2 linked regions of the Saccharomyces cerevisiae S288C genome follow. Changing the gene in region 1 together with any one later gene gives a genetic interaction. Each region holds a gene or a part of one and is shown in the gene's direction. Other genes may lie near its edges.

Region 1 (4,791 bases):
GAATCTATTATCGCTGATCTTCCACTCCCCGATCTGCCTCCAGAACCTCCTACCGAATTATCAGACTCCTTTAAAGAACTCCCACCGATAAATTCTCATCAAACTAATTCCAGTTTGGGTGGTATTGGTGACTCTAATGCCTATACTACTATCAACAGTAAGAAAAGATCATTAGAAGATAATGAAACTGAAATTAAGGTATCACGAGACACATGGAATACTAAGAATATGCGTAGTTTAGAACCTCCGAGATCGAAGAAACGAATTCACCTGATTGCAGCTGTAAAAGCAGTAAAATCAATCAAACCAATACGAACAACCTTACGATACGATGAGGCAATCACCTATAATAAAGATATTAAAGAAAAAGAAAAATATATCCAGGCATACCACAAAGAAGTCAATCAACTGTTGAAGATGAAAACTTGGGACACTGACAGATATTATGACAGAAAAGAAATAGACCCCAAAAGAGTAATAAATTCAATGTTTATCTTTAACAGGAAACGTGACGGTACTCATAAAGCTAGATTTGTTGCAAGAGGTGATATTCAACATCCTGACACTTACGACCCAGGCATGCAATCCAATACCGTACATCACTATGCATTAATGACATCCCTGTCACTTGCATTAGACAATAACTACTATATTACACAATTAGACATATCTTCGGCATATTTGTATGCAGACATCAAAGAAGAACTATACATAAGACCTCCACCACATTTAGGAATGAATGATAAGTTAATACGTTTGAAGAAATCACTTTATGGATTGAAACAAAGTGGAGCGAACTGGTACGAAACTATCAAATCATACCTGATAAAACAGTGTGGTATGGAAGAAGTTCGTGGATGGTCATGCGTATTTAAGAATAGTCAAGTAACAATTTGCTTATTCGTTGATGATATGATATTGTTCAGCAAAGACTTAAATGCAAATAAGAAAATCATAACAACACTCAAGAAACAATACGATACAAAGATAATAAATCTGGGTGAAAGTGATAACGAAATTCAGTACGACATACTTGGCTTAGAAATCAAATATCAAAGAGGTAAATACATGAAATTAGGTATGGAAAACTCATTAACTGAAAAAATACCCAAACTAAACGTACCTTTGAACCCAAAAGGAAGGAAACTTAGCGCTCCAGGTCAACCAGGTCTATATATAGACCAGCAAGAACTAGAGCTAGAAGAAGATGATTACAAAATGAAGGTACATGAAATGCAAAAGCTGATAGGTCTAGCATCATATGTTGGATATAAATTTAGATTTGACCTATTATACTACATCAACACACTTGCACAACATATACTATTTCCGTCCAAGCAAGTGTTAGATATGACATATGAATTGATACAGTTCATATGGAATACGAGAGATAAGCAATTAATATGGCACAAAAGCAAACCTGTTAAGCCAACAAATAAATTAGTTGTTATAAGCGATGCATCGTATGGTAACCAACCGTATTATAAATCACAAATTGGCAACATATATTTACTTAATGGAAAAGTAATTGGAGGAAAGTCCACCAAGGCTTCATTAACATGTACTTCAACTACGGAAGCAGAAATACACGCGATAAGTGAATCTGTCCCATTATTAAATAACCTCAGTCACCTTGTGCAAGAACTTAACAAGAAACCAATTACTAAAGGATTACTAACCGACAGTAAATCTACAATCAGTATAATTATATCCAATAATGAAGAGAAATTTAGAAACAGATTTTTTGGTACTAAAGCAATGAGACTAAGAGATGAAGTATCAGGAAATCATCTGCACGTATGCTATATCGAAACCAAAAAGAATATTGCAGACGTAATGACCAAACCTCTTCCGATAAAAACATTCAAACTATTAACAAACAAATGGATTCATTAGATCTATTACATTATGGGTGGTATGTTGGAATAAAAATCCACTATCGTCTATCAACTAATAGTTATATTATCAATATATTATCATATACGGTGTTAAGATGATGACATAAGTTATGAGAAGCTGTCATCGATGTTAGAGGAAGCTGAAACGCAAGGATTGAAAAACGAACAACATGAGACAAAACCCGTCCTTCCCTAGCTGAACTACCCAAAAGTATAAATGCCTGAACAATTAGTTTAGATCCGAGATTCCGCGCTTCCACCACTTAGTATGATTCATATTTTATATAATATATAAGATAAGTAACATTCCGTGAATTAATCTGATAAACTGTTTTGACAACTGGTTACTTCCCTAAGACTGTTTATATTAGGATTGTCAAGACACTCCGGTATTACTCGAGCCCGTAATACAACACACTGAACATCCTATTCCTCGTGGCCCAATGGTCACGGCGTCTGGCTACGAACCAGAAGATTCCAGGTTCAAGTCCTGGCGGGGAAGGATTATTTTTCTTTTAATCAACTTTTTCGGATATCGTAACCCGGCATCTGTGTTACGTTGTGTGTTTATATTTTTTTAACTGTTCGTGAATTATGACATTCTATAAAAAAGAATCTTTTTGTATTTAAGGAGAAGAATTTTCCAGGCCAAAATTAATTTTTTTTTTTTTTGTCAGGTAGCGTGATATTTCCTATTACCCTTAAAACACATGAATTTGCGAAAGAAAGGGCAATGCACTGAGAAATAAAAAGGCAGGCAAAGAAAAACGTATACAAAAGGGGATTATTTTATTTTGGGGCATTAAAACCAAAAACGGAAAAAAAAGCACGTCACGAAAATAAAAATTCAAAAAAAAAAATAAAACCAGTTACAGTACTCATCACTACATTCTTAATGGCAGATCAAGTACCAGTTACAACACAACTACCACCAATAAAACCTGAACATGAGGTACCACTTGATGCTGGAGGGAGTCCAGTAGGTAACATGGGTACCAACTCGAATAACAACAACGAGCTAGGTGATGTATTCGACAGAATAAAGACACACTTCCCTCCGGCCAAGGTAAAGAAAATAATGCAGACAGACGAGGATATAGGAAAAGTTTCACAAGCCACGCCCGTAATAGCGGGCAGGTCCCTAGAGTTTTTTATAGCGTTATTGGTGAAAAAAAGCGGGGAGATGGCAAGAGGACAAGGAACCAAGAGAATAACCGCCGAAATACTAAAAAAAACAATTTTAAACGACGAAAAATTCGATTTCTTAAGGGAAGGTCTATGCGTAGAAGAAGGCCAAACACAACCGGAGGAAGAGAGTGCCTGAGCAGAACGGGGCGATGTAACTTAGTGTAAAATGAATACCACATCTATATATATCCATATACCAATGTATTTATATCTATATATGTCTGCACATATATATTATACTCTATTATCAAGGACGAAACGTAATCACATATGTATCAACGACAACCGGCGCCTCATGTAATCTGTACCTTTCTCTACAGTTACATAGCATGAGTATGTGTATTCCTATTTAGGAAAAAATTAACGCTATTCTTAAGGTTTACGAAAGAGCATGCATCACCCCATACGATCCCCGGAGTAACTCCCGCAGGTGGGTGTGCGGGCGCTCAGCCTGCTATACGATTTAGAAACGAGGCGCTGCGTTACCGTCTGTGACTTCTTAAATAAGATTTTTAGGTGTCCCATCCTTCCAACTGTGCCTACACCAGAAAGACAAAAAGAAAGGAGGAAAAAGAAAAGCTAATTTTTTCTTTCAAGTGCCAAAGGAAGCGGACGAAGGGCTAGCTCGAGGATTCTTGCAGCAACGGAGGAAGGAGTGTGAAAAATCGTTAAGGTTCTCGCGGTTTGCACCGCGTTGCGTTCGAGACACCAAAGAAATGTATACTTGCAGATTGTGCTGATATGCTAGTTTAAGCCCAAGCGGTCTGGTTGTTGGCTTCTTGCTTCTGATAATTACTTAATATTAATACCTCAAAATTACGCACTTGGAAATATAATACAGGCGTACTCCTTTTGTATTTGTCTTTCATCTGCACTTGACTTCAGCTTTCTTTACTACTGCTCTATATACAGTAATCTGTTTACACTCATCATCAAATAACTGAAGGAGAGCTACGGCAAAATACTTGTTTATTGTCATATTATTGCTATTGTTGTTTTTTCCGTGCTGACACAATAGGATTCATTTTACCAGGCTAAACACATAGCCACCACCGCTCGCTACTACTTCCACTCACTCTTAATCAGCATGTTACAGCAGGGTTCTTCCTCGAGGAGGAGTTTGCATGGTAATGATTTTCACACGCTCACTTCTCCTTCAAGGAGAGACTCTTTGAGTATTCCTAGGGCTGTGGACGCTAGATCTGCGTCTACGATTGATCTGTTCTACATACCGGATGCTACCGTCTCAAGGAGGCACTCTACTCTGGTGGCTAATAGATCAGACAATAATGGTAATGGCGCACCGATGCGCCAGTACAATAAACCTAACTTTGCTTCCTCCTCGACTTCATCTCTGCCTTCAACTAGAAATCGCCCCTCTCGCTACGATAACATGAATATGAATATGAATATGAATATGAACATGAACATGAACATGAACATGAACATGAACAACCATACTACCAGTGATCACAATGCGCACCCGCAATATCGTTGTAGACCAAACCCGTCCAGACGCCACTCCTTAATGACCATTCCCGAAAAGTACTCTGGTAGTCGCTACAGTCTCCGATCATCCCCGCCTACCTATTCTAATCCACGTGTTAGGAAGGAACTTACTCCTTTCCAATTACAAAGAAAGCAGATGAAAAGCGCTTTTCAATTCCCCAACGGTGAAAATTTCACGCCAAGAAACCAGATAGCA
Region 2 (5,815 bases), on another chromosome or scaffold:
TTCAACAACTCTTGATGTCTAGCCTGTACTTCGGCCAATGCTGTCTTGGCCTCACCACGTCTATTGGCGTTTAGCAACGCTTGGGAAAAGATCTGCTGGCCATTGACATCGTTGATGGCGGCTTCCACTTCTTCGTCAGTGGCTTCCGGTTGGATAATTGTGTACTGTCTCTTCGCCTGCTCTTTGCTTTCTTCTTTGTAGTTAGAATCGATAATTCTGTAGTCTTGAATTAATTTTAAGAATTTCTGTCTGCAATTTTCAGCTTGTGCCTGTTTATTAGAGTCGTGCAATCCGTCTCTCTGGGCATCTTTGATATCCGCTTTCAATTGATACTGCAAATCTGTGGCCTGAGAGATGTAATCGTCCAAAGAACGTCTCAATTCCATCTCCTGTTCCTCACTCACTTGAGTAAGTAGGTCTTTGTGTTGCGCATCAATTTGGTTGATAATGTTTTCGTACCTGGACAAGTTAGCATTTATTGAGTTGATCTTGTTCATAAAAGCTACGAAATCGTCGCTACCATCTGAGTGACCAGTAGGAGCATTGTTCAAGTCCTCTTGCATTTCATAGTTTTCAGCGTACGGATTGTTATTCTCATAAGGATTAGCGTTGCTCATTGCTGCAATATTTGTGCGTGTATGGGCAGTTTTCAAATGTAAAGTATTACAATTCCACACTATTCCAGCTCTCTTATGGGTATATTAAACGATTTAACCTGCCAACAGCATTTATTTGTCATTTTACTTGCTTTTTTCATCCATCCATTGAAACTAAAAACGTCAAAAAAGGCCATTTCGTAAACAACGGCCGGGTGATAAGCACGTCGTTTAGGGGGGACCCTTTGCTGCCGCTTGGTACCCGGCTCGTAAGACATAAAGATGCCACATATTTACTTTTAGCTGGCTTCTTTATTCACACAGGCTACTCATAAGAGCTTCAGTAGACGCGCATCTGTCGGTTCTTCGTCAATCTATTTCCGCACATACTATTACGTACGATGGCTATTAAACCAACCAAAAGTTTTCAGAATTGTCTAGAAGCTGAAGTGCCTGGTTATAACGACTGTCCGACAGTTTTGTTTTCTATCGACCCTAATAGCGGACCTAGATCCAAATCTAAACAAAGAACGAAATCGAAAAGATGTGTTAGCGGCAGACTTGCCACAGAAGTGTTAGATCTTTATGGGAACACTAAAACAGCTACTACGCCGCCACCAGTTTTGAGGAGGCCATCTGTAACTGCTGCTCAACAAGAATCTGCCTGTGAAGGTGTGCTCGTAAAAGACCAAGGCGATAGACAGCTCCAGCCGATATTATGCAGTAAAGAAGAATTAGTGGCTAAGATCAACGACCTCTGTGTGTGTGGCTCGAAGCTCTCTTCGAAGGAGTTGGAATTTTACAAGAAAAAATTAGATTCAAACATTACCAAGATTTTACAAAACGAGCACACCAAAACAGTACTATCCCAGATTTTCAATGAAAAAGACAAAAATATGGCCGTGAAAACCATTAAACATTGGATGGTTACTGACACAACAATCTCAAATTGGTGTCCCGCATTCTTAAAAATTTTTGAAAATGCGATGCCTAATTAATCAATAATATTATTATATTTATAAATAGAAGTACACTACGCAGAACATTTTATTTTCTAAAAAAAAAAAGAATTCCTATTGAATAATTAAAAATCAAGGTTACCCGCAGTCTGCTTGAGAAATTTAATAAAAAACATGTAATCATCTCATCGCGTCGAACAGCATATAGCAATAAGGGCTCATCACCGCCTCATGTTTCTTCTTGTCATATCAGATCAAGAAAAACAAAAGGTTGGAAAATGAATGAGGATAAAGAGCAAAAGATCAACATACACGATATATTGAATACAAGACCGAAGCTCACCAAAAAGACAGCCCTAGATGTTTTCTTCGAAGATCTGGATGACAATGTAATTACTCCCATAAACGAATATGTTCTTGATTCAGGCTCATCATCATCCTCTTCCATTTATCAGGCGTTGAAGTGCTCAAATAACAATGAGTTTGTTGCAGTACTTTTACAGAAATTCCAGAATTTGCACATTCACGTACTAGAACAGCAACGGAGGCTCATCGAAAGTAAAAGTGACTTATTGCCTATCTCATTGCATGATATGAAATACGTAGACGAACTGATAAATCTTTTGATTATTCATGGTATAGATGCTAATTTGTCTCCTACGATGAAAATTCCATTCGATTCGAAAAGAATAAATACTTTCAAGAAGGGCCAAAAAAGCGCAGAATATGAAACGCCTCGATGGCACACCATAAATAACGATACTTTATCTCAAGTCATAACTGTCTTTTATAATGTTCTAACTAGTGAGAGGTCTTCTGACTACCTGAGAGAAATAATATCAAAAGGCAGTGCTTACGCAAACATTTTATTAGGTTTGATTGTGTTACATTTGCAGTTGCCTAATAGGTACTCTTCACAAATGATTACAAATCTAGAAGATACTCAAGAAACTTATACTTTGTTTGGGGTTTACACTCTACTAGTAGAAACAATTCAAGACGAAAAGGTTAGGGAGCCAATCCTTTCGAAGTTAACAACGTTAACTCTACGAAGACCGGAAAATGGTCTGATCAGCTTGATTGATTTCGTTTTGGGTGTGAGAGATGCTGAAGATATAGATATTGAAAAGTTTAACCGTATCTACCAAATTTTGATGAGTAAGCCAAAAACAATGACAAATTTGCAATACTTGACGGAACTATTCAAGCAAATTTATGATGGTCTCACCTTTGTGAACAGGCCTATCCTGGTCACTTGTTTGAACGGACTAATCCTTAAATTTTACCTGAGGAATAAGAGGATTGTTAACGATTTTTTGTTTAAGAAGGTCCGCTCCATTATCTTTAATTCCCCGTTAACTGATCATACAGCAAAGGAACTGAACGATGTTATAAACGTTCTTATATCTTTATCCAAAAATTCTTCATCGGATTTGCTGAATGATTTAGTTACTAGTTGCCCTGATGAAGACGGTACTACGCCTGGACAGTTCTTTTTATATGTATGGATATATGCTCTTTTTTTGAAGAAAAACCAAAAACTAGACCCATTAGAAATAAACAAATTGTCTATTTCAGATAATAAAAGCACAGACAGCATACATTTTCCAGAGCAATCTTCCTCAAAGTATTACGAGGTTGTATTATCATTATTAAAATCTCTAATAGTCATAACAGAAAATTTTCAATATCTAAATGTACTGAGCCTTAACTTACTGAATTTTGAGCACGAGAAATGGAAGTATTTAATTGATCTTGATACTCAGCTACCCTACATATCGGTTAAAAACACAGATATGGCAGAGTTGTTTTTCGAAAAAGGATCCAAAAACTCTCAAATTTCTGAGTTTCTTCAAGATATGGACCTTTCGATAGAATTATTTATGGAATTTTTAGTGCTGCTAAATGATGAGGAACAATCAAAGACTTTATTTTTAGATATTCTGAAAAGATGGGTCCATCATACAAAAAAAAGTGAAAAAAGATCTTCCGATAATCATAGCGGGATGCCAAGCGTTACAGATAACGCGTTAATACTCATGGACTTGAAACTTTTGGAATGTATGAACAACCGATTTAAAACCAAGATTGTTAATAAACCTAAGGACGTTCTTATTGTTATTGATCAATTGATAGATGTTGTTCAGGAAAAAGATGAAACAATACAGGAAGTAGAAGCAGATTCTGACGACGAAGTTGAAGAAGGAGAAGAAACAGAAGAATTGGATCCAAATGAAAATTCTTCCTACAAAATTATCTTGCAGTTATTATCAACCGTCCTTTCAGAATCGTCCAGTAGTATATTATTGCAAAACAGTTATATATTGAAATCCATTTCTAGAAAATTACAATCTTTCAACACTAATGCTTCCGAAATAGATGCATTATTGGCATCAATAGATAATATATTGATTAACGGACATACTACGGAAAGGAACGACAACATAGAAATTGAGATGGATGAGGAAAGGCTTGACAAAGCGATAACTAGTCTACATGATCCTTTAGTGCCCATAAAATCTTATGGTTTAACAGAACTACGTCATCTAGCTGAAAAGAAGTCTCCAGTAATTTCACTGGAAAAGGTGTTGCAAATACATTTAGATTATTTAAAGAATATGGACCCTTTCATTTATCTCAACGTTATTAAAGGACTTACAACGCTATGTGAATTAGAGCCAGAAACCATATTGCCTCTACTTGCAGAATTTTATGCTAACAAAAAAAAGAAAAACAGATTAGATGATGTGCTGAAAGTTGGAGAAGTGTTCATCAATTACATTCAACGTCAGAACGAATTGTTCCAGGGTAAATTGGCTTATCTGATTATAGATACCTGTCTTAGTATTGTGAGGCCAAATGATAGTAAACCATTGGACAATAGATGGCGTATGTCATCCATGTCAATCTTAGGTATGTGCCTTCAAATCAACGCCAGGGGTGTCTCGGATAGAATTCGCGATATGCTGGATTGTGTATTTGGAATATTGCAATTAGAACAACCACAAAATCATTTGAAGGACAAGGATGATTCTTTTTTGATGAGAAGAAGTGCCGTACACTTGATACATGATTTGTTGTACAGTACAGGATTTGATTTACTTCCCTTTGAGTACAACTACGATAAGCTAAAAACACTATTATCTTACGTTCGTGATCAAGATGAAGATTACATGGTTTGTGAACAGATTGACAAGCTTTTAACCGTACTAGATAGTTTATAACCCATTACGCATTTGATTATAATTTGCTTCTTAGGCAAAATTAATATTTACGTTCTTTTATATTCTTTCTTTTTGTATTCATAGAACAGCAGCCATTACCAATAGAAAGTTAAAATAGCCGCCGATGCATTTTATTACCCGCCTTTCTGTTTTCTGGGCACTTTTCTTTCTAGAAGGTGAAAGAACAATTTTTCTCGTTTTCTCGAACTTCCACCAAGCGTTGGGTAATGAGGGAGGAGATTTGTATAAAAAGAGTGGCATGTGAACTGCCTACCGTAAGTGACATGAACACATGCATTATATTTTTTGTGATATATTCTTTCTCTTGTTTTCTTTTTCTTGAAACGCTACAGAACCAATAGAAAAATAGAATCATTCTGAAATATGGCTGGTGAAACTTTTGAATTTCAAGCTGAAATCACTCAGTTGATGAGTTTGATCATCAACACTGTCTATTCTAACAAGGAAATTTTCTTGAGAGAACTGATCTCTAACGCCTCCGATGCTTTAGACAAAATTAGATACCAAGCTTTGTCTGATCCAAAGCAATTGGAAACCGAACCAGATTTGTTCATTAGAATCACCCCAAAACCAGAAGAAAAAGTTTTGGAAATCAGAGATTCTGGTATTGGTATGACCAAGGCTGAATTGATTAACAATTTGGGTACCATTGCTAAGTCTGGTACTAAAGCTTTCATGGAAGCTCTATCTGCTGGTGCCGATGTATCCATGATTGGTCAATTCGGTGTTGGTTTTTACTCTTTATTCTTAGTCGCCGACAGAGTTCAAGTTATTTCCAAGAACAATGAGGACGAACAATATATTTGGGAATCTAATGCCGGTGGTTCTTTCACCGTTACTTTGGACGAAGTTAACGAAAGAATTGGTAGAGGTACCGTCTTGAGATTATTCTTGAAAGATGACCAATTGGAGTACTTGGAAGAAAAGAGAATTAAAGAAGTCATCAAGAGACATTCTGAATTCGTTGCTTACCCTATCCAACTTCTAGTCACCAAGGAAGTCGAAAAGGAAGTTC

What was found. A genetic interaction does not mean that the proteins touch.
Region 2: of BUR6 (region 1) and RTP1, a mutation in one rescues a mutant of the other (synthetic rescue), as found in Saccharomyces cerevisiae (one study listed by BioGRID).

The regions. Positions count from the first base shown.
Region 1 is NC_001137.3:489,961-494,751, reverse strand, and holds BUR6 (negative cofactor 2 transcription regulator complex subunit BUR6), read left to right. Parts: upstream 1-2,793; coding exon 2,794-3,222; downstream 3,223-4,791. Other genes in the region: YER158C (uncharacterized protein), read left to right, coding at 4,174-4,791. UniProt on the Saccharomyces cerevisiae protein: Component of the NC2 complex which represses RNA polymerase II transcription through binding to SPT15/TBP and thereby inhibiting the assembly of the preinitiation complex.
Region 2 is NC_001145.3:627,192-633,006, forward strand, and holds RTP1 (Rtp1p), read left to right. Parts: upstream 1-1,833; coding exon 1,834-4,779; downstream 4,780-5,815. Other genes in the region: SSO2 (syntaxin), read right to left, coding at 1-617; ADD37 (Add37p), read left to right, coding at 998-1,594; Hsp90 family chaperone HSC82, read left to right, coding at 5,164-5,815. UniProt on the Saccharomyces cerevisiae protein: Required for the cytoplasmic assembly and the nuclear import of RNA polymerase II. May facilitate the starting interaction between RNA polymerase II subunits RPB2 and RPB3 and the subsequent interaction of the resulting complex with subunit RPB1.